4 linked regions of the Caenorhabditis elegans genome follow. The protein of the gene in region 3 interacts with the protein of the main gene of each other region in a pairwise test. Each region holds a gene or a part of one and is shown on either strand. Other genes may lie near its edges. The genes, in order: Y57A10A.24, F56B3.2, rps-15 and bcf-1.

Region 1 (6,883 bases), on a different chromosome or scaffold from region 3:
AATTGTATTCGTTTAAAAATTTGTGAAAAAATTGAAAATTGGTTTTAAAAAATTTGAAGTTTAAATATTTCAAGTCCAGAAAATCCAATGCGAGAAAAAACCTCAAAATTTTTTTAAAAATTCCAAAAATTATATAAAAAATTATTTTAAAGCTTTCAAAAATTCAATAAAAATTCCAAACAAATTCCACTAATCTGAAAAAAGGATAAAATCTATTGGGGTCCTAAGCCTAAGTTTGAGCCTAAGTCTAAGTGTAAGGCTACGACTAAGCCTAAGCCCAAGCTGTAGCTTACGTCTAAGCCTAATTTTTAAATGTTTCAATTTCGAATTTTCAAATTTTCCAGCTCTCAAGAAGACCTTCCAACAATCCAACGCCAAGAAAGCCTTCAAAAAGCTCTCAGAGCACTTTGTAATGGTTAACACCGAAGACGACGACGAGCCATTCGAGGAGGAGTACCGTCCAGACGGAAAGTACATTCCACGTCTGCTTTTCCTCGACAAAAATGGAGATCTTCTTCAAGAATTCAAAAATAAGAAGGCCGAATACAAAAATTACGCGTATTACTACTCATCACCAGCTGATATCCTTAACTCTATGAAGGATGTGCTTAAACATTTTGGAGTTGACATTCCAGAGGCTAAGAGAGGTGATAAGCTTAAGCCAAAGAAGCCAGAGGGAAAGAAGAAGGAATTGTAAGAATAGAGATTGTTTTATTGATTTATTGATTGATTTTCAGCTAATTTATTTCTTATCATTTCTTTGCCAATCTTGTTAACTATTATTAATTATTATCACGAATAAACTGGTTCTCGATACGTCGGTTTTTACGAAAAATTTAAATTCGCGCCAAAAACCTTTTCGAAACCTCGAAAAAATTTTAAAAATCTTATGAAAATTGCATTTTGTGCCTGAAAATTTTTAGCCAATTTTTTAGAAAAAAAAAAAGTTTTAGGAAAATCTGTGACATTTTGAAAAATTCAGGAAAGTTTGAAATTCCAGCCAAAAAACTTTTGAAAACTAATTTTTTGAAAAAACTAATTTTTTGAAATTTTTGAATTTTGCATTCATTTGAAATTGACTTAGGCATAGGCTTAGGTCTAGGCTTAGGCTTAGTCTCAGGCTTAGGCTCAGGCCTACGCTTAGACGTAGGCTTAGGCTTTGGTTTAGGCTCAGGCTTTTTTCGGTGATTTTAGAAAATCTGAAAAGCTTTTTGAAGTTTAAATCTGAACAAAATTTTTTTTGTTTGAAAAAATTTATAATTTCATGAATTTTTGAATTTTGCTCTCGATAATTGTTTAATTTAAAAAAATTCAAAAAAAATTTGAATTTTGCCACAAAATAGGAGATTTAAAATACACCGCCCACATATTGGTTCAAATCTAAATCAAGGCTTTCATGGGAGGCAGGCGCGGTTTCAGGGCCTGACGCCTGTCTGCCCGCCTGCCTTCCGCCGCGGCCGACACTTTTCGGGTTCCGCACTATACAGAAGGCCCGAGGCAGGTGAAGGTCGCCGCAAGGTAGGCACACCAGGCCTTTTGGCGCCTACATGGAAGGATTAATCAAAACCAGTTTCCTAAGGGATTAAGAAACTTTCTCTCCTTCCCTATATTTGAGTAGTTATGTAAACATCCTCATATTCAGAATATGTCACGTCTCTTCTCCAATGTTCCGAATTATTTTCCTCTTATACATCGTCGGGTCATTTCTCTACCAGCAATATGAATTCGCAGTTTGAATTTCGAAATTTAGTTCTAAATTCCCAATTTCTTTGGATTTTTCTAATAAATCTTATCACCTCTGCCAATTCTGAAGCCCTAGCTTCTCCTTATCAGTATCTGAAGGATCTTTGCCCTGTTGGACAGCTTCCACTAACGGATACGGAGCACGTGAAGACGTGTGCAAGCTTATGTCCTCTTGGAGCATTTTGTCATAGGGGTATATGTTGTGTACCGCCACCGCAGTGCAGGCATCCGGCTTATAGGTGAGGAAATTTTTTTTTGAATTTTGTGTTAAACTTCGCAGATTATATATTGTTTTTTGAAAACAAATAATTTTATTTTACCGCCAAATTGTTTTTAAATGTTTTCAAATATTTAAAATTGGCGCCAATTTTTTTTGAAGTTTTTGGAATATTTAAGTTTGGCGCCAAAATTGTTTTGCAATTTTTAAATAATTTAATTTGACGTCACAATGTTTTAAAATTTTTAAAATATTTAAATCTGGCGCCACTTTTTAAAATTTTTTTTAAATATTTAAAATTGGCGCCAAATTTGTTTTGCAAGTTTTTAAATATTTAAATTTGGCGCCAACTTTTTTTGTTGATATTTTTGAATTATTTAAAATTGGCGCAAAAATTGTTCTGAAATTTTTTTAATATTTAAAATTGGCGCTAAATTTTTTTTGCAATTTCTAAAAAATTAAATTTAGCACCATTTTTTGAAATTTCTTTTAATATTTAAATTGGGCGCCAATTATTTTTGTTGATATTTTTGAAATATCTAAATTTGGCGAAAATTGAAATTTTAAAATTTCTGTCAAAATTATCAAAAAAAAAAATTATATCAAAAAAATTAAAACTTGAAGCTTGCCCCAACTATTTTAAAGATTCAAAAACTGAAAGTCGCGCCAAAGTTGCTAAAAATCTGAAATTTTGAATTTCGCGCCAAAAATATTTGAACTCAAACTTCAGGATGTCTACCGGCTTTCCATGTCTTCCAAAACGTAAGAATAACTGCCCAGATGGATCATTTTGTGTATCAAGTAGTCAGGATGGAATGTCGATATGCTGCTCAAACAGGAGCATTGAAAAGTTGGTGATTTTAAGCTCCGCCCACTTCTTGGTTTTCTGGGAGAAGAAGACCATTCTAAAATAAAAACTATAACTACAAATAAAATAAATCCATATTTTTACAGAAGTTTCCCGATAACATCACAATTAAAACTCTCCAAATCTGCACCGTTCCCAAAGGAAAAGCCGATGCAAAAATCCACGTCATCACTGATGACGTCACTAGACTCCTCCCAAATCTGTCCGAAATCCCATCCAATTATTGCACATGATGGGAAATCTCTGGTTTTGTGCAAGGATTGTGTTCAGGGGTTAGTTTTGGACTGCGTTTTAAAAATTAAAAAATTTATTTTTAAACGAAAATGTTACCTAAACTCGAAATTTACAATTTTTGCACCAAAAAACTGGAGAAAAATTTTTAGTGCCCAAAAAAATTATTTTTGAACATTTCAAATTTTTTTAGATTTTTCAGAAAGTTCACATAATATTGAAGATTTTGATTTTGTAAATTTGAACAAAAGCATAAAACTGTTTGTATCACAAATTAAATTTTTTTAACATTTGAACATTTTGGGTCCCACCACGATAAGTTTCAGAACCGATATTTTCCTGGAAACTGTTATAGAAAAAAAGTAAAAATTCAGATTTATTTCGGGGTACCCCGAATTCAAACAAAATATCATAATATGAAAAAAATTTTTAAATCAAACGTTAAATAATATTTCGAATTTTTGGGTCCCACCACAAAAGCTTTTTTGCCGAAAATTTTGTGAAAAAAATTGGCAAAATTGTATGTATGATGCTTTAAATTTAACATTTCAACTAATTTAAAAAAATTAAATTCGAAAATTTTTTTTTCAAATTCTATATTTTCAGAGTTTGCGCAAAATTCCGCACCAGTAACGTAGAGGTATGCTGTCAAAGTTCTGACGATATTTGTGGTGTTGGAAGTCAAATTTTGATGAATGGATTGGTGCCGAGGGACTGTAACAAGAAGCCATGTGGGATGGGGTAAGTGAATTTTACAGCTCAAGCCATGCTCTTAAAATAGCCAGGAGCTAATTTTTTTTGCTCGAAACTTTCCGAAAAACATCTAAAACTTGGAATCAATTTTTTGATTTTTTGAAAATTAAAGTTGAAATTTCACAAAAATTTTTAAACATTTTCAGAACTTCTAAACTAAAATTGCACCGCAAATTTCAAATTTCCAGCTACGAATGTTCGCTAACCCCGACGGGTCTTCGTGTATGTTGTTCGTTAGCCCAATGCCCGTCAGGAGTGTTTGCGAGAAGTGTGTGCGCAGCCGGATGTTTGAGAAATGAAAAGTGCATGGAAATTCAGAATGAGATGTGGTGTTGTCCATCCGAGGAATCATTCGGTTCAAGAATTGAGATGGTTTGTAGGAATGGGGAGAATGGGTAAGTTACTACATTGTACTGTAGTACTGTATACTGTATAGTGTACTGTTGGGGTACTGTAGCTCAGTTTCCGTTTGTCAAAAATTATCAAAAAATTTAATTCAGTGTTTATCATCCAGAAAATAGCCTTAATATACCGAGTATAACTGTAGAAAAATTTATGGAATTTCTCTAAATTTTTCTAAATTTTTAACGATTTTTTTTCAATTTTGCAAAAATATTTGATTTATAACACTAAAAACTATTCAAATGCCAGAAAATGGAGCCGTAATGACCAAATATATCTGGAAAATTTTTAAATAAATTTTCTAATTTTTTAAAATGATTTTTCGTCAATTTTTAAAAAATCTAAGAAACGGCCGAATTAAATTTGAATTCCCGCGCAAACCATATATTTCGGCCGTTTTTTAAATTGTTGAATAATTGAAAAATCATTTTAACAAATTCGAAATTTTTTTATTAGGTGCTTCTATTGAATTTTTCTACAGTTACATTCGGTATATTGAAACTATTTTATGTCATTTAGAGCAAAAAAAACTTCCAAAAATTTTATTTCCTCGAGTTTTTTTAAAATTTCAAATGTACTTGATTGTCTAGATTACTGTAGAAATGCTTATGACTCAATTACAAAAAAATCCCAGTATTGATTCTTATTCCAGAACCGGTGAAAAATGTGACCCAGCTTTTCCGGCGTGCTCACAAGGAGCATTTTGTGAGCTGAACAAGGAGAAGACCGCCCATATTTGCTGTAAGCGGTATAAAAATCGACGTGAGTATTTTATTGCTTAAACCTATAAAAACTAAAATTCAAGAAAAAAAAAAATTTCAGTCGGCAACAGCCGTAAAACCCTTCTACCCCCTCCATTCTACTACACTACAACTACTATGAAGGCTCCCATAACCATAGCCACAACTACTGCAGAACCATACCCTTTTGAATCTGTGTAGGTTGCTTAATTAAAGGCAAAGTAGCGCCAGAGGGGAAAGTGTTTAAAACTACTCCATTGGTGTCAAAATGATCGAATATCATTTTAAAAAATTTCAAAAAATTTTTGAAATTTTTTTATTTATTATCAAAAAGTGACAATTACTCAGTTTTTGCCACTCATAATTTTGGAAGTCAACCAAAAAAAAATTTTTTTCTACATTTTTTATACTGTAATTTTTTTTTAATTATTTGTATTAAAAAATTGTAGGGGTTGGAACATGCGAAATTGCTTTGGATTTCCTCAAAGGCTCATATTTTTCAAAATGTTTGCAATTTTCCAAAACTGACCGGGAATAATGAAAAATCTAAAAATTTTTGGACTGTTTGTTAATGATATTTGGTCATTTGAAATAATTTTAAGTGTATTTAGACACAATCCCCACTGGCGTTACTTTACTTTTAAACCATCAAAGGTATCTTAATCATATCTTAATATTTATTACAGTCCAAACTGCCAAGACCCTGAAGCCCGTCCACTCATGGAAAACGGCTTCCCATACATTTGTGATCATATCGGAGATCCGTGTATTCTTCGATCAGGATATTCGTGTCAAGAATCTGATATTGATGATGTCTATGTGTGTTGTACTATTCAAATGAACCGAATCCTTCCACCACAGATTCCAATGATTGGGCCATTTACGTTTATGACGTCATCAACTACTACAACTACTGAGAAGCCGATTGAAGAGGAAGAAGTGATTGCGCAGCCGACATGCCCATTTTCATATATGCCGTCGAAAAATGTTAATCAAGATGTGCAGCGTTGTCTATCACTGTTTACGTTGGAGTGAGTTCCAGAAAAATAAAAAATAAAAAATTTTTTTCGATTGTTTTTTGAAACTCTAAAAATCAGTATTATCTTATTATCTTTATCCAATTTTTTAAAATTTTTTTTTAAATCGGAATTAAAAAAATTCTAACATACATATATTGTTGAAAACGTTTAACGTTCAAAAATCGATATTTTAAAATAATTCCAGCTGCCCACTCGGCTACACGTGTCTACCATCTTCCACTACCGACAGTTATCTATGTTGTATTCGGAAGCCTGTGGTCTATTAGGCTTAATTATTGATTTTTGTTTTTTTTTTCGAATATTTGTGCCAATTCTATATTTTTTAAATATTTTTTTAGCTAATGAACATGTTTTCAAACAGTTTAATTTAAAAACAGCCTAATACAAAAACTTGGAAAACTAAGCCTAAGCCTAAGCCTAACCCTAAGCCTAAGCCTACACCTAAGACTACACCTAAGCCTAAGCCTAAGCCTATGCCCAAGTCTAAGACTAAGCCTAAGCCTAAGCCTAGGCCTAGGATAATGAGAGCATTTTCAGACTGCTCTATAAAGCCAAACAAAGATTTTGCAATAATTCATAACGCATTCGATTCACAATAACAAGTTCTTTAATAAAACTATAAAAATGTAAAAAGTTAGGAGTCAAATTTTTATTTATTTAACACTGAAAAATTGGAGTGTGTAGATAATGAGAGCATTTTCAGACTATGTTTTTTCAGAGCTGACGCCAAGCTTATGCCTAAGCCCAAGCCTACGCCTAAGCAAAAGCCATAATTCTGAAAATCTAAATTCAAATGTTAGCATCCAAGTCTGGGCTCAACGGTCCAAGCCTGAAAGCTTAAAAACCTAAAGCCTGAATATTTTTGCAAACATAAGTAAACTGAATTGAA
Region 2 (6,860 bases), on a different chromosome or scaffold from region 3:
TTTTTTCCCAGCTTTTTCCGAGGAGTGCCCTCATGTTATTTTGTAGTCTTATCTGTGATTTTTGGAATGTGAAAAAAATTTATTTTTTTTCAAGAATTTAATTTTAATTTTTTTTTCAGCATTTTTGGTTAAAAATTTTCTTCCAAAATTTACAAATTCAGTGCGAAACGATCAATTTTCCATACAAAAATATTGGAGGCATGAAAAAACTAAATTTGAATGCGCGCGAAAAAAGTGTTCAATGGAGCGCGTTTACTCGTCGAGCATTTCGGGAACGATAATTTGAAGTCTGTCATTTTTCACTGTAAAAAATGCACAAAATCCAAATATCCCAATTTTTACTGAAAAAGTACTAAAAATCTTGATTTTTCACTGAAAAAATCCCCAAAAATCCCAATTTTCACTCAAAAAAAATCGAAAAATCTCATTTTTTCGCTTAAAATCAGCAGAAAAATCGAAAATTTCATTAGAAAAATGCCTTAAATTCCAAATTTCCCAACCTAAAATCCAATTTTATCATTAAAAAAAAGCCATTTTCTGACTTTATAATACAAAAAAGTCAAAAAAAAATCCTAATTTTCCCCCCGTTTTTCACTTTAAAACACATTAATTTCTGGTTTTTTGCCTCAAAAAATGCCAAAAATCTCAATTTTTCACTCAAAAGTTCCGAAATTTCATTAGAAAAATGCCAAAAGTCTAAATTTTCCAACCTAAAATCTAACTTTTTCACTTAAAAAAGCCTAAATTTCAAACTTTCTAACACAAAAAATTCTAATTTTTCACTCAAAAAATGCCAAAAATCCCAATTTTCACTTTAAACCCTCCAAAAACCCCCCATTTTTCACTGTAAAAAACCTAAATTTTCAACGTTTTAACTCAAAAAGTGCCAAAAATGCAAAATTTTCACTGAAAAAAGTGCAAAAAAGCTCATTTTTCCACCCAAAAATCCCAATTTTCCCCCTAACACCTCTCCAAAACCCTCATTTTTTCCAGATTTGATCTCCCAGAAGACTCAAAACGACTAACATCAGAAGACGCGATGGCTTCACGTGCTGAAAGATTCGGAATCACTCCAAAAACGCCTGCCACAGATGATAAGCTGGCCGCCCGTGCCGCCCGTTTTGGAATTCCAGTTGGTGGAGCAGCTTCAGCTTCAAAAAATGCTCCAAATTCTGAGGTAAAAGCTGCAAAATTGGATATACAGATGCAGAAAAGGAACTGATCGGAGCATTGTATTTGCAAGATGAATCTGACCTTTTTTCAACTTTTTTTTTTGGTTTTTTCGAGAAAGTGGAAGAATTTTCATTTTTAACTTTATTTTATCCTTTCTGAAAAAGAAATGAAAAATTTGATTTTAATCTGAACGAGTTATTATTCCACGTGTTCAAAAAAAAAACGAACAAAAAAAAAGAAAAAAAAGTGGCGCGGTCTTGCCGATGCACAGTCATCTCTCAAAAGTTCAAAAGTATCTTAACCCTCTCAAAAAAAATTATTGCGCATCCTTGATTTGAAGTGAACACGCCGATCCAAAGGGCATTGTCAAGTTGAGCGCTATTTTTGACAAATATCTAGAGAACCGAAAACAGGGACGACTTTGCAGATATTGATGTAAGAATTCCAAATATGAATTTATTATTTGTTCAAAAATCATTGAAATTTTTCAAACTGAAAAAGGGCGCGGTTTCAGTTGAGATCAAGAAGCAAACAGTTACAGTTGTTACAATTACGTCATTTTAGTTGTTTAAATGATTCACTCATTACATCAAATCTTGTATGTTACAATATATCTACATATATCTCTCTCATCCTCCCTCTTTATTCATGTCATCATCTCAAACTGTCATCCGTCTCCAGTGTTCAATCGATATTTCTCGCTTTCCCCTTATACGGATCCTTGCTGCGCTTCTCCTTTCTCTCTACTTTCTCCTTCTAATGTAGGCCAATTGTCGCCAAAGACCCAAGTTCGCGAGTGAAGACATAGTAGAAGAGGCCAAAAATATGTTACCAATTCGAAATTTTATTCATTTTTCTGGTTTAATACTACTGATGTTTTATCTGGTAGATGCGCAGTTTTCTCCTTGTAATGGTAAGGTTTTTTTTGTGATTTTTTCTGTAGGAATTTTAGTTTTACACTCCAACAATTTTAAGATTTCTTTAAAAATTCAAAAACTTTAGCCCAAGTTTCCGTAAATTGCCAAATTTTTTCGAATCTTGATTATAAACATTTGGAATACAATTAAAGTATGAAAAGTCGTAAAAATTAATTTTGTTAGATTTTCAAAATATTGATAGGCTATAACCAAATTTAGCCCCTTTTTGGTTGGAAATTAAACGTTTTAAAATTAAAAAAAAACAAACATCTTTAATTTTCAGGAAAATCCGCTCTCAACGGAGTCTGCGATATAAATGGAGATTGTGAGAATAAAGGATCGATTTGTTTGAGAGGAAAATGCAGGTAAATTAGTTGTTTTGAAATACATTTTATGATAAGGTAAGATTAAAAATAAACTTTATTATTTTAGATGCCACCCTCACTACACGGAAACTAGAGATGAGAAGGGGCGTCTTCCAAAATGTGCACCACGTGAGTTTTAGATATGAGAAAATAATGAAAAAAAAAACAATTTTTCTCTGATTTTTTTGCCTGCCTAAATGTAACAAATATGAATGTAAAAATTATGAAAATTTTCTGAATTAAAGAAAATTTTTTTTTTCAATTTGGCACAACAAAATAGCAGCAAATTTTGGCAATTTTGAGTTTTCGGGCTTTTTTCAAAAGGTTTTTGATTTGAAACTAAATTTGTCAAACTTTTACGACATTTTTTCATGTTTAAATGCAAATTGCGGAGTTGAAATTTCCGGCAAATCGGCAACTGCCGAAAATTTCCGGCAAATTGTGGTTTTGCACATTTTTTTTTGGAAGCTTCAGAATTTCAGTTTTAATCGACAAAATTGTACTCTTTCTATGAGTGTTTCTACATCAATTTTGAAAATTAAGCAAATTCTATGAAAATATCTAGAAAAAACGGCAAAAAATTTCAAAAAGGCACAGTTCCAAATGTTTCCGTCTTATGAAAATCCCTCTAAAAAGTTCCAAAATTGATTATTCGGCAAACCGCAAATCGGCAATTTGCCAAATTTGCCGACAAAAAAAGTGCCGAATGGCAATTGCCGCCCACCTCTTTAATGAAACGTTTAAATTGATTTTTTTTAAATTTTATATCAATTTCAGAGTCTCAGCAAGTTTTTTTTCGTGTTATTTTTTCGAATTATTAATCCTGAAATAAGCCTGAAAACCAACCGGAATGCGCGAAAATATAAAATCTAGATTATTAATTTGCGCGGGAATTCAAACATAAAAATTGAAAAAAAATTGTTAAAATATTTAGAAAAATCGTATAGATTGTTTTCTATCATTTTGGCCACTTTAAACCTTACACTGATTGAAAAATAATGAATATTTATTACAAACATGACCAAACAATTCTTCCAGTACCCGCAAAAATCGGAGCCCGTTGCTCCTCCAAATGCCGCGAGCCCCTTTTCTGCCGTAACGGTGAATGCCAGTGTGTGCAACGTGGAACAACACGAGTGTCAAATGGAGAATGCATTACAACTTCTCGAGTCGGAGATCGTTGTTCCAGACATTATGATTGTACTTCTCCATTCTCAGCATGTGTCAATTCGCAATGCGTCTGCATCACTGGAACTATTCAAATGGTATAATTTATTTAAATTCTAATAAGTTATTTGAATTCAAATGAAATATTTTTCAGGGCTCTCGATGCGTAGCTGCTGCCAATTGTCCATTCGGAAAGCTTCCAGGACAGAGCTGTGTTCGAAAATCCGATCCATCACTCGCCTTTAACATTCCTTCAAATCAAGACAATTGTCCAATGGGTCAAGTTTGTATTACTGCTGGGGAGAGTCAAGTTGGTTGGTTTTTAACAGTACTTAATTAGTATTCTCTGTAGTTTGTAGTCACTGAGAAAAAAATAAATTTTTGCGAAAATTCAAGTTTTATGTATCCGAAAAACTATCTTGGCGGAAAATCGAATTCATTATTTTTTGAACTTAGGTGGGAGCTTAAATGCTTTTTCGAAAAGATTTCTCGCAAATTTCTGGTTTGAAATTCAGATTTTTCGAGAAGTTTTGGCAATAAAATTAATAAAATGCCTTAATTTTTTGGTGAGAATTCCAATTCAAACTTTTTAAATTTTGATTTTTCTACATTTTAAGCGAAAAATTGAAATTATTTTTAAAAGAATAAAGAGGTATGCAATTCAATTTTCTTCTGTTTTTGGCCGAATCATTTTTTAAACTTTTATAATTTATTTGGCAAGATATTCAAATCTGAATTGTTTGAAAATTTTTGGCACCAATTCAAACTTTAAATCTTAAATAAGTTTTGACAGGAAATTCTATTTTCTGTTTAACTAAAAAATTTGACTGGAATTTTAAATATTAACTTTTGAGAAATTTTTTCGAAAAATTAAAATTCTAAATGTTCCAACAAAAAAATAGTAGGGAATTTATAACTTTCCATTTTTTTCCCACTTTTCGGCGGAATTTCAAATGTTTTAATAAAAACAAAAAACACAACTTTTCAGGGCACTGCTGCCCCGTGATCTGCCCATTAAACACTACCACGGACACCAGATATTCTTGTGATCCAGATGCAGCTCCAGCTCTCAAATGCCCATCTGATTCCCATTACTGTTACTTTTTGTCAGGTAATTTCAATAAAATCCAAAATTTTATTTGCAATGCAAATTCAGACGGAAGTTTCTCCCAAGCCGCTTGCTGCCGTCGTCCATGCAATGCGATGGCTCCAAATGCTCTCTACGTCGACTATCACTGTATGCCACGTGGGCAACTCAACTCAGCGTGCACATCGAATGCTCAATGTGGTGGTGGAGAGGGAATGGAATGCATGAAGGGACAGTGTCAATGTCAACAAAATTTCCACCCAGCAGTTGATGTGCTCACGAATCCATTGAAAAATCCATCTCAATCGTGTTCGAGGGACTGTGAGAGTGAGAATTTGTCAAAGGACACAAGTTGTATGAAGGTAAGGGAGATGGGGCAAATAGGCGGTAGGTTTGTAAGCAGGTAGGCAGGCGGTATTTTGTAGGAACTTTTCTTAATTTTTGACTTTGTATCGCACCTTCATTGTTCAACTTTGACAACTTATATCTCGGTTGTCGGTTGTTCTATTCAAAAATATCCAATTAACACGTTGTATGCGGTTGTCCCATCGCGGTTTGATCTGCAAAAAATGCGCGAATTTTTTCCCCAGAAAAATGTGACGTTAGCACGTTCTTAACCATGCAAAATCAATCGAGAAGTCTACGTCTACATTACCGCTTTTTTTGTAGATAAAACCGAGATGGGACATTCTGAAACCACGTGAGTTAACAAAATATTTATAAGTGTTTTTTATCCTTCGGCACAATTAAAATGAAAAAAATATATATTTCAGGTTCAATTAAAATTCGAAATTACCTTTTTGAACTAGCCAAACAACAAATAATTTTCAAGCTTTAGCTATATATTTTTCAGGCTGTACCGCTCAATTCCCTCTGCTTCATTCAAAAGCAATGTCCACAAAATTCGGGATGCTACCGTGGAAGATGCATGTGCCGTTGTGGGTTTGCAGCGAAAAATGGAAAATGCGTTGAGATTCCAGCCCCACCAACGACGACTTCAGCACCAGCACGTGAGTTTTTAAGTTTTTTCTTCAGGCGGTTCAGATAGTTATGAAACTAAAGAACTCTACATATTTTCTGAAAACAAAATGAATTGAGAATAAATTTTTCTGAAAAGTTTCGACTGAAAAATAAACGATTTTATGATGTTTGTAATTACCGAAAATTGAAATTCCACGACTTCTGCCTCAAAAAGACGGTACCCGGTCTCGCCGCGATAAATTTCTGTTAAATGAAAAATCCTTAAAGGTACATACCCTTTTGCAGTTATTGAAAGACCGGGTGCTATGTTTTTGAGGCAAATATTGTGAAACTTACGAATAGTTTGAGGTTTTTTTCAGAGTTGAATTTCTTCCAAAAAATCTGACCACATATGAGATTTTTGAAACGTTTAAAAATTCCAATTTTTCCAGCCGCCATAATCCCCGGAGTGCCCATCAATCCTGGAAACGACCTGTTCAAACTTTTCGGACAATTCCTCGGAGCTGGAAATGGAGGTGGCGGACTCAATTTTGGATAATTTCTCTTCCCGCAATCTCATTGTCTTTATTTTTTACTACGAGGTATTGAATTGTTTTTTAATTTTTTAATTATAAAATTTTTCAAAATGAAGATTTTTTCCCCAAAAAACTCAAACATCAAATTAGCTGCCCATTTCTATCTCTTTTCCTTCGAAAAAGTTATGCCCTATGCCATCTATCTAGTCAACAAAATCAAGTCAACCCGGTAGAACCGTTAAGACAAAACTATCTAGAGAGAGACTGTGAGTGAGTGAGAGAATCAGAGAAATGGAAGATGTTTTGGTTGGGCGAAGAAGAGGACAAGGACGTTCGGGAAAAAACGTAACGGAAAAATTGAGAATTCTGTAACGAGACGCAGACGGTTAATTTCGGTTTTCGGACTGTTTTTCGGTCAGGAAAACGGAAAAATTGGAAAACGGAGAGAGAACTGTCCTTGAAACCGTTTTCAAATGCCTAGTAAGAATTCAGTATAAAAGGAACTCGAGCGACGGAATTCGTCAGTCGGTACAGCAATGTCCGCTTCAATCAAATTTGCCACCGGGGCAGCAGTGCTGTCCGGTGTGACTATTCTTGCTTGTCTTTTCTTTGCCGCCCAGGTCTTCAATGACGTCAACTCTCTCTATGATGAGGT
Region 3 (2,867 bases):
ATCGGGAAACTGGCACCTCGAAACTCGATATCCGCATTTGGCCATAATCCAATTCCAGTTGCGAGAGCATCTCCCATTGCAGCAATGATTGTTATATCTTCAGGAGATATGTTTCCAACATTCGTTCCAGTCAAAAGTTCAGTTTTGATACGAGGACAGGAGAATGTCTTTCTGAAAAAAGCTTCATTTTTATCAATATATTAGTAAAAATAAACCTGTCATTGAATGCAGAGTTGATTACACCAGCCACTGGTTGATGTTTTTCAGGTTTGATGGCGGTCAGAGATTTGAGATGTTGATGATCCACACTGTCTCTTTCTCTGAAATAATAATTGTTTTTGTCATTTTTCATAGAGTTCCAGGAAGACCATCACTCGACCTCATTCAAAAAGCGTTTAATTGGAAGAAACTAATATGGAAAAGAAGATTAAAAAATTAAGTAACTCAACAAAAATAAATAGGATAGTTTGAAATTGGGAGAAGCAGACCATGCGGTTTTAGCATTCTAATTTCAAAAATTGAAAACCCTTCTTCATCTTCGTGTGATGACGTAGCAGTGTCGAAAAATTTGTCATAATCGGCTGATTTTCCCCACATTTTTATAAGTCTGAACTGTCCAAATTTTGTAAATCGCAAGAAGCCGGTGAGAAAAAATGATTTTAAATTAAATGGTCACACCTTTCTTCACTTATATCACTTGAATCATCATCTTCTGAAACTTCTGTACTGTCATTTCCACGCCTTTTTTGTTCTTCTGGAGTTATTTTATCGTCATCACTGCTTCTTCGGCTCGCATAATCGGTCAAATTTTGCGAATTATCCTCATAATCCACCATAAACTTTCCCTCGTCATGGAACTCCCCGCGTAGAATTTTCTGGTCTACATTGGGAACCACAGATCCATGTGCAAAATAAAATAGAAGTAGTAGAAGTAGGTTTAATCGCATTCTGAAAAAATTAAAGTGAAGACAAAATAGTGCTTGCGATAAGGCTAAAGAAGAAGATATTTAAAAGGTAGAATCGTCAAAAGGAGAGAATATAGATCTCCAAACTCTATTATGCTTTATTTGCAGTTCGAAATTGAAAACAATGCTTAAAAAACAAAATTAAATCGACAAGAATTTCAAATAACTAATTATTGTCGAATAAATTCTGGTCGAAACTTCATTTTATGAAAATAATTTGTATTCAGCAGTTGAATACATTTTTTATTTTGAGAATAACATTATTTAAATTAAATTACGAAGCTCCAAAACTTTTTTTTTCACCAATTTCCGTTTATCAGGCCCGAAAAATTGATAAAAATATAAGAATTGCAACCGCGCTCCACCGAATTCTGGCGAACAGCCAACCTGCGCTGAGTAGCGACTCAACAATGATGAACGATACGGAGCTTCGGTTGTCAGTAGAATTTTTACAAAATTTTCCGTTTTTCGCGATTTTTTTCACGGTTTTTCTGGTTTTTTGGTGTTAATACCTGTTTTTAATATAGAAATACTAATTTTTCTTTTCCTACTGTAGAGAAATATGTGAAACTAATGGAAAAATTATCGTAAAAATGTATAAAATGGAAGTTGCATTAATTCAGATTTTATTTAATTAAATTTTACGATATGTAAGTCAGTGCTCTTTTTGATAATTCATGACGAGTTTTCTTCACTTCTCTTCCATATGTTTATTTACTTTCTTTTCAATATCCATATATTGCAACAAAAAAAGTAATCGATTTTTCAGGGTTAAACATGGCTACTCAAGATGATGCCCATCTCGCTGAGCTGAAGAAGAAGAGAACTTTCCGCAAGTTCATGTACAGAGGAGTTGACTTGGACCAACTTTTGGACATGTCCCGGTAATTTTTTAAAACAATATTTTGCCGGCAATGTCTGGTTTTTGGTCATCTCCAAGAACAATTATTTATTTCCAGTGAACAATTCACCAAGCTTCTCCCCTGCCGCATGCGCAGACGTCTCGATCGCGGACTCAAGAGAAAGCACTTGGCTCTCATCGCTAAGGTCCAAAAGGCCAAGAAGGCTGCTGGTGTTCTCGAGAAGCCAGCCACCGTTAAGACCCATCTCCGAGACATGATCATCCTTCCAGAGCTCGTTGGTGGAGTCATCGGAATCTACAACGGAAAGGTTTTCAACCAGGTGAGTCGATTACAATAAATGCGAAAACATTATGATTATTATTATTTTGTTACAGACCGAAATCAAGCCAGAGATGATCGGATTCTATCTCGGAGAGTTCGCTATCTCCTACAAGCCTGTCAAGCACGGAAGACCAGGTATTGGAGCTACCCACTCTTCCCGATTCATCCCACTCAAGTAAAGTTATTTGTTGAACAATAAACTTGTTTCTAAAGTTGATCAAATTATGTTGCTGTCTTTTATACACGGTTGAATAACATCAATTCGAAGAAACGTGATGATTTTATATTAGAATGTGTCGAAATGTCCGCGCGAGTTGAAAGGGTCAGTTGAATATTGGATGCGAATGCCTTTACGGAAGCCCGCACTATCACAAAAATAACCACCCAAATTTTTTGAATTTCTTTTGTATTCCTAATAAAAGTAAACGAATATCGAGAACTTGCTGGCCCTGGATGTCATCGACCAATCTGAATACCGTGATTACCATTCTTCTACACAGCAATACGCTGCTTTTAATGAACAGAATAGTCCGAACACAGAATTGCAATAAAAGGCCATAATTTTAGAAAACGGCTTCTCATTTTTTCTCATCAACATTAAGTGAAAAAATGGATAGATTTTGTTCTTATTTCTCCGAAAGGTATCAAAAATGTTCGACTTGGTGGCAATAAGTTTCCTCGTCACATACTTCGCTGTCTCCCACTTGATTTCGTGTTT
Region 4 (7,731 bases), on a different chromosome or scaffold from region 3:
AGTTGCCGCACTTCACGCGCTTCTATCTGAAACAAAAAATTTTTGGGAAAAAACTTTCAACTACAAACTTGTTCTTTACAACAATATCAACAACTTATCAGTTGATGACTTTTCTGTAAAAAAATTATCCGCGGAGATATGATCTACCAAAGTGAATTTGGAAAATTGGCCCTCCAATGCTTCGTTAAAGTGCTATTTTAGGATCATTGAGAGCCCGCCGTGAGCTTGGTTCTGGAGTTTTGCAGCTAAAAATTCACGAGTAACCGTTTTAAGACATGGGCTATCGAATGGCGTAGATCTCATATGCAAGTCCAATGGGTACCTTCTGACGGTTCACTAGTAAGAACTTTAAAAGTTTCCCAAAATAATTTCATATTCAAATTTTTTTACAATTTATATAAAAATATGATAGAAAAAAAAAGACAAAAGACACACACACACAAATACATAGAATATGAAAATCACATTTTTTTTCCTTGATTTCAAAAGTTATGTTATTTAAAACTTGCTCCTTGCTGCGTTTGGTTATATTGGCACCATCTTTTTAAAAATACTTATTAGACAGCCCAAGTAAAAGTGCTCCAAAAGGTGTGTTTTGTACATTTGACAAATTTGTGCTTGAAATTTTAATTCAATTATCATTCGACTCAGACATGGTCTTGAAACCCTTACTCTATTTTTATATGAGTGTGTTTAATATAACTTTCTAAAGAGTTCTGAGGTGTATGTTTTCCCAGAGCATAAAGGTGTCAGATATGATATAAAATATCTACGAAGGAGTATCTGAACAGTTAAAAAAATTTCAAATTATAAGGTTTATAGGTTTTTAATTAAAATGACTATTCCAGGACTGAATTTTGATTTATTGATACATATTGGAATTTCTTTGATTTGGTTTTCAAACTGCCATGTTTTATGATCAGTTTCGATAACAACCAGACGAGTGAAATGAGGCAAAAAGTAAATTCAAAAATGAGTAGTGTAGTTTACCGCGGAGTTTTCAGCAGGATATAATTAATGTTGGTGGATATTCAAATGTGTAATATTGCAATTTAAAATGTTGAGTTTAGATTATAAGTCATCTCCGAATCTATTTTTTTTTCTCAAAAAACTACACTCCAAACCGCCAGAATGAAATCCGCTAGTGACTCATTTTCAGGCTTATCTTCGTTCCATTTTTCAATATTTCACAACTAGCGTGATTTTGATAAAAAATAATGCAAACCACAGTAAAGTAAAAATTTTATTTGGTTAACCAAATGACGAATTGACAGTTAGATAGCTGAAACTAGATTACAGCTATAAATCGGATGACTAAGTATTTGGGTTTGCCAACGCTTCACATACACCCAAAATTCCTGCTCCAACTACTTTTTTGAAGCTCATTTTCTTTTTCTCATTGTTTCTCTTGCAGCAGAAATCACTAATTTCGTATCCTGCTTCACAGGTTTCGCCTCCAAGGTTCTGAGACTCCACCCACTTCGTGCTCTTATCAAGAGAGGGCAACTACCGTATAACAAGGACCGATTGGCGACCAAGAACCAATTTTGACTGTTCATTATAAGAGCCTCATTCTATTTAATTTACATCTCGCCAGGTCGCACTTCACTTCTTCTCTCTACTCGAAGAAGCCCTACTGATTTTTTTCTCAAATTTTATTTCTGAGAGCCTTCCTTGCTTTACTGTGTTTTTTAAGGATCTTACTATTCACTAACACATTCAAATTTCAGATGCGCTTGGGCATTTTCCTGCTGGCACTTGCCGGCTGTTGTAGTTTCGCTAGTGCTAAACAAAACTGCTTAGTCGGAAATCTAATTGTATCGGAAAATGTTATTACATCAAAGTCTGTTGAATTGGTACGTCCATCTAATATACATACATTCTATATATTTACTTTAACTGTTTCAGAGAGAATGCGAAGGATTGTGCAGAAAACAAACTGTCAAATCTCCAAGCGGAGGACTTGTTCTCTTGACATGCGAAGAGAACAAGCTTATGGCTTTCATTAACAAAGGACAGGATTGCTCCAGCAGTGAGCTTGAGACATCATGCTTCTGCGAGGATGAGTTGTGTAACAAGGTCGACTTGGAAGAAAATATTCCAAAGCCAATCGAAGTTATTAATGCCCCAAAGTGAGTTTTGTTATCACTGTTATTTTTGACAACTGATAGGAATTGAGGTTTGCATAAGTCTCTGATAGTAACTTTTGATAAACGACTATTTTTGATAACAGCTGCGAAAGAGAAAAACTGATGCAAAATCAGATTAATTTTTTGACCAATTGAAACTTTTTTTAATATTTCGAAATTTTGAATATTAGAGAAACTAAAAACACACGTCGAAATTTCTCCCGTAGATTTGTTTTTAACTTTAGCGATTGGTTTTGAGCAATTTTTTTCCAAATTTTAAAACATTTTCAAGTTTGTACGATTCAAATGTTTAACGTTTATATGAAATCCATCGTTTTTAGATCAAAAATATGTGTAGCCTTAAATTTTTTAAACTCCTTCCGGAAATCGCACTAACTTCTTACTATATAATATTATTTTTTTAGTATGACTTTTCAGCGATATAGTCTAAAATTGAACTTTTTCACTGTACTTTCTTTTACTATACTTTGTCCTAGTTCAATTCCTGACCACAAACTGTTACGTGTGTAAATTTGCCAGTCAACGTCAAACTGATAACAATAATGGAATAATTGGTTTACATTTGGGCGCGCTTCTTATCTGACTGTGCCAATAACGCACGCAACACAACCATAAAACGTGGCTAGTTAGCTCCTCGGCATTGAAATTCGGAAATATTTTAACCAATTGTGTGATAAGAGATTGATAGTACATTTTTACCAATTACCAAAAAACTTCCCTGAAGGAAGATCAAAGAAGATAAGTGAAGATAAATTGAATGTATTAATTGCAGCAACATCCTCTGCTACGTCGGATTCTATGCCAACAACACTACTCCAGGATTCGGATCAGGAGACACCGTCACTTGCTCCCCAGGAAATGTATGTACCAGTGTTTCTGGAGTCTACAACGGATATGACGCTGCTGCCTACGCTTGCATGCCACAAGGACTTTGCGACAGCATCTTCCCAAATATTGACCCAAATAATCCAATCGCCTGCACCAATCTCGCTGGAACCAACATTCAAGGATGCTGCTGTTACAAGCAAGATTGTACTAGCCTCGCTCCAATGAACAACCCACCAACTCCATCTCCATGGAACAAGAACAACCAGACATGCTATCAAGGAATTTCCGTCAACGGAGCTCTCTTGTACGGAGGATCTTTCTCTCAATGCTTGGGAGAATGCGGATCTGCTCGTATTCGTACCACTTACAATGGAGCCAATGTATGGGGAGAGATCTTCGTTTGTGACCCAGTCAACGTCTTCACTGCTTTGAACCTCGACAACGGATGCATGAACCTTGACACCCAAAACATCAATGGAGTCCCAACCGCTCTCATCACCGGCTGTGCCTGCAACAGCATGGACAAATGTATTGACCCAACTGTTGTTCCACCAGTCTACCCAGTCAAGCAGCTCAGATGCGCTGTCGGACTTTACAATGGAACAACCTGGCTCGGAGCTGAAATGAACTGCCAAGGACGATGTGGACGTGTCAGGTTCAATGCCAACGGACAACAAGTTTCATACTTCACTTGCATGCCATACGATGTCTGCGCTGGATTCGGACTTGCTTCCACTGAAGGACAAACCTACAATCCACCACAAGACGAGGAACTTGAGGTGTACTGCTGCTCTGCTAGCAACAACTGCAACGTTAACAATCCATACATTCTCGGACGTGTGAATAACTCTGCTGTGTCTACCGCCAAGTATCCAGTTCTCTGCTACGGAGGAATCTGGGTTAACGGAGTTTCCATCACCAACTCTGCTTACGGACTCTGCCAAGGAGAGTGTGCTTCAGCTAGCTTCACCACCACCTTCGCCAACCAAGTTCACAATGCTACCATCTACACTTGCGATCCAGTCACAATGTGCCAACAAGCCGGAATCTCCAACTCTTGCGGAAGCGTTCTTGGAGGAGTCAATGCTTGCTGTTGCGACAATGATCTTTGCATTGATCCAAACAGAGGATCTCAACGCCCACAACTTCGTTGCTATTCTGGAGTTTCTATTCCACAAGACAAATACAACACTGGAGGAGACCAATTCTGTGATGGATGGTGCGGATCCTTGAACTCTGTTGTCAACGGAAAGAACGCAACTGTCTACTACTGCGCCCCAGTTGGAATGTGCCGCTACTTCGGACTCGGATTCGGAGGATCTTACGGAAACTGTGGACAAATCCCAGGAGCTGACCCACAAGTCACTGGATGCTGCTGCTCAGAAACTGACAACTGTCTTGCCCCAGCTGGAGTCAACGTCACTGCCATCCCAGCTCGTCGTGACCCAAGAATTGTCTGCTACGAAGGAATCCATCTCAACGGACAAAACATCAGCCAGCCTTACTACCGCATGTGCGACGGAGAATGTGTGTCTGTTTCCCTTGGAGGAACCGTCAATAACAACTCTCACTACGCTACTCTCTACACCTGCGATCCAAGCAGTGCCTGTGCCGCGATGGGACTTCGTAACAACTGCTCCACCATTGACAACTCTCTCACTGCTTGCTGCTGTGACTCCAATGAGTGTATTGATCCAACCTACAACCGTGTTCCAGGAAAAGCTCTCAAATGCTACGTCGGTATCAGCACCCAGCACAAGGGAAACATCGCAGGAGCTGAAGTTCTTTGCGACGGATATTGTGCCACCGTTTCCGCTGTTGTCGGATCCGACTATGTCACCGCCTTCCATTGCGCTCCAAGATCTATGTGCCGTTCCCTTGGACTTGACAACTCGAACAACACTTTCTACTTGGACAGATTCGTCAACGCGTACTGCTGTGATGTCTTCGACAACTGCAACGTTGCTACGTCTGGATTCAACGTCACCATTCCACCACTTGCACCAAATGAGATGCCACGCGCTTGCTATTCTGGAATTTTCATTGGAGGAAGCCAAATCTCTGACGGAGGATGGACTGCTTGCAAGGGAGATTGTGTTGCTGTCAACTTGAACACCACATACAACGGAGTTGCTACCACTGCTTCTCTTTACACGTGTGACCCATCTTACATCTGCAGAATGATGAACTCAACAAACAGATGCCACCAACAAGAACAAGGATTCGAGACTTGCTGCTGTGACAGCGATGCTTGCCTCGATCCAACATCCACCCCACCACGTAAACCATATGGAGATGGAAACCTCTGTTACGTCGGAGCTTACTCCTATGATTTGAAGGGAAATACCATCTTCAATGCCGGAGGAGAACAATACTGCGAAGGAAACTGCGCATCTGTTACTTCAACACTTGCCAACGCTAACGTCACTGTTTACGCTTGTGTCCCAGCATACGTCTGTAACAGCTTGTACGTCTATGACAGCTGCCGCACACTCTGGTATGATAGAGATATCACTGGATGTTGTTGTACCAATGGACCTAACTGCAACTTGAATCAAGTTGTTCCAAGACCTCCAATCAACAATCCCGGAAGAAGACGTCCACGTGTTGAATATCCAATCACCTGCCCAGCTGGTCTTATCGTTGACGGATTCAACCAAACTCCAATGGAATTCTCCGTTTGCTTCGGTGAATGTGCCTCTGTCAGCATCAATGCTACGATCAACGGAACTTTGCACACGGCTTCCTTCTACACTTGTGATCCATCGTCTGTCTGCTACCAACTTAAAGTTCATAACAACTGTACTTCCCCAGAAGCTGGAGTAACCGCTTGCTGCTGCGACAGTGATGCTTGCCTCGACCCGAACAGAGGAAAGACCGTTCCAACTCCACCACTCAAGTGCTACGTTGGACTTTACTCTACCAGCGTGCCATCACTTCAAACCGGAGCTGAACAACTCTGCGACGGAAAGTGCGCTTCTGTTAGCGCTCGCATTGCCAATGACAACGTGACCCTCTTCGCTTGTGTTCCACACTCTCTATGCCGTTCCCTCGAGCTCTACGATTCCTGCGCCCGCATGGAGCCATACTACCCAGAATTCCGAGCTTGCTGCTGTGACAATGCTGATAACTGCAACGTTCAACAGACCCATCTTGCCAATGTGATCAACACCACCATCCCACTCACTCCACTCAATGATGCTCCAATATCTTGCTACTCCGGACTTTTCATCAACGGAACCGCTTACAGCTCAGCTGGATGGCAGGTTTGCCAAGGAGAGTGTGTCTCAGTATCAATCACATCTCAATTCAATGGACAAGCCGGAACCGCTGCTCTTTACACCTGCGATCCATCCCGCGTTTGCCGTAATTTGAACATTCTGAACAAGTGCTCCAGTCTTGAGAACGGAATTACCGGATGCTGCTGTAACACCAATGCCTGTATTGATCCAACAGTCTATCCAGCTCGTAACCCAGGAAACCAACTTATGTGCTATGCTGGTATCAGCTCGAACTACATTGTTAATGGAAGCGCAGTTAACGTTGGAGCTCAAATTCCATGTAACGGACAATGCTCATCCCTCTCAGGAGTTGTCGGTGGATTCCAAGTCAACACCTATCACTGCATGCCAAACTCGATCTGTAACTCCCTTGAACTCTACGACAACTGCAAACCAGTTTGGAATGACAACCAAGTCACTGGATGCTGCTGTAACAATGCCAACAACTGTAACATTGCCAATACCACCATCACTCCACCACCACCACCAACTTCAGTCGACTATGCTATTGCTTGCTACACTGGACTTTATGTCAACGGTGTTCCATCTACTCCAGTCATTCTCGGAGCTTGCCAGGGACAATGTGCGTCCATCTCATTGAACACTACACTCAACGGAGTTGCCACCACAGCAACTCTTTACGGATGCGACCCAAGCACTGTTTGCCAATCTCTCAACATGAACAACTGGTGTGCCTCCCCAATCCCAGGAGTCTCCGGATGCTGCTGTAACACTGATCTCTGCCTTGATCCACCAAAGAACAAGACTGTACCATCTGGATTCCGCAAGTGCTTCGCTGGAATCTACGCTCAAGGAAAGGCCACTGGATCTGAAATCTTCTGCCCAGGAAAGTGCGCCTCAATTCAAGCTACCCTCAACCAAGACCCAGTTGCTATCTTCGGATGCGTGCCAACCCAATTCTGCAGACAACTCGAGATGTACGACGAGTGCAAACCACTTCCATATGATACCACAGTTACGGGATGCTGCTGCGACAACTACAACAACTGCAACGTCGATTTGGCTGGATATGGTGGAAAGATCAATACTTCAATGCCAGTTACGAACTTCCGTGATTATCCAATCGCTTGCTTCTCTGGTCTTTACGTCAATAACATGCCAATTTCCATCGCTGGTTGGCAAGCATGTAAGGGAGAATGCGCTTCTGCTACTCTCTCAACCATGTACAATGGAGCTCTCACCAACGCTACAATTTACACTTGCGATCCAGTCAGCACATGCTATCAACTTGGAATGAACAACAATTGTACTACCATTGAGAATGGACTTTCCGGATGCTGCTGTTCTACCGATGCTTGCCTCGACCCAACTGTTTCTCCACCACGTACTCCTAACCCACTCAAGTGCTACGTTGGTCTACAATCTACCTACAATTCGTTGAGCCTCGGAGCTGAGACCTATTGTTCCGGACAATGCGCTTCATTGACTGGAATCGTCGGAGGTTTCAATGT

The links.
Region 1: the proteins of rps-15 (region 3) and Y57A10A.24 interact in a two-hybrid assay, tested with the Caenorhabditis elegans proteins (one large-scale study listed by BioGRID).
Region 2: the proteins of rps-15 (region 3) and F56B3.2 interact in a two-hybrid assay, tested with the Caenorhabditis elegans proteins (one large-scale study listed by BioGRID).
Region 4: the proteins of rps-15 (region 3) and bcf-1 interact in a two-hybrid assay, tested with the Caenorhabditis elegans proteins (one large-scale study listed by BioGRID).

Annotation. Positions count from the first base shown.
Region 1 is NC_003280.10:12,241,276-12,248,158, forward strand, and holds Y57A10A.24 (EB domain-containing protein), read left to right. Parts: upstream 1-1,670; 5' UTR 1,671-1,719; coding exon 1,720-1,982; intron 1,983-2,690; coding exon 2,691-2,810; intron 2,811-2,914; coding exon 2,915-3,100; intron 3,101-3,665; coding exon 3,666-3,800; intron 3,801-4,000; coding exon 4,001-4,207; intron 4,208-4,866; coding exon 4,867-4,976; intron 4,977-5,036; coding exon 5,037-5,151; intron 5,152-5,640; coding exon 5,641-5,985; intron 5,986-6,178; coding exon 6,179-6,260; 3' UTR 6,261-6,354; downstream 6,355-6,883. Other genes in the region: txdc-12.1 (Thioredoxin domain-containing protein), read left to right, coding at 345-697.
Region 2 is NC_003282.8:763,546-770,405, reverse strand, and holds F56B3.2 (EB domain-containing protein), read left to right. Parts: upstream 1-1,821; 5' UTR 1,822-1,998; coding exon 1,999-2,086; intron 2,087-2,373; coding exon 2,374-2,455; intron 2,456-2,522; coding exon 2,523-2,584; intron 2,585-3,493; coding exon 3,494-3,720; intron 3,721-3,776; coding exon 3,777-3,936; intron 3,937-4,610; coding exon 4,611-4,733; intron 4,734-4,778; coding exon 4,779-5,071; intron 5,072-5,562; coding exon 5,563-5,719; intron 5,720-6,121; coding exon 6,122-6,228; 3' UTR 6,229-6,345; downstream 6,346-6,860. Other genes in the region: col-103 (Nematode cuticle collagen N-terminal domain-containing protein), read left to right, coding at 6,742-6,860.
Region 3 is NC_003279.8:8,815,061-8,817,927, reverse strand, and holds rps-15 (Small ribosomal subunit protein uS19), read left to right. Parts: upstream 1-1,734; 5' UTR 1,735-1,742; coding exon 1,743-1,849; intron 1,850-1,924; coding exon 1,925-2,147; intron 2,148-2,202; coding exon 2,203-2,328; 3' UTR 2,329-2,356; downstream 2,357-2,867. Other genes in the region: F36A2.9 (Lipase_GDSL domain-containing protein), read right to left, coding at 1-171, 216-320, 679-947. UniProt on the Caenorhabditis elegans protein: Negatively regulates lifespan.
Region 4 is NC_003283.11:6,402,783-6,410,513, reverse strand, and holds the start of bcf-1 (bacterial colonization factor), read left to right. Parts: upstream 1-1,730; coding exon 1,731-1,856; intron 1,857-1,908; coding exon 1,909-2,132; intron 2,133-2,922; coding exon 2,923-7,731.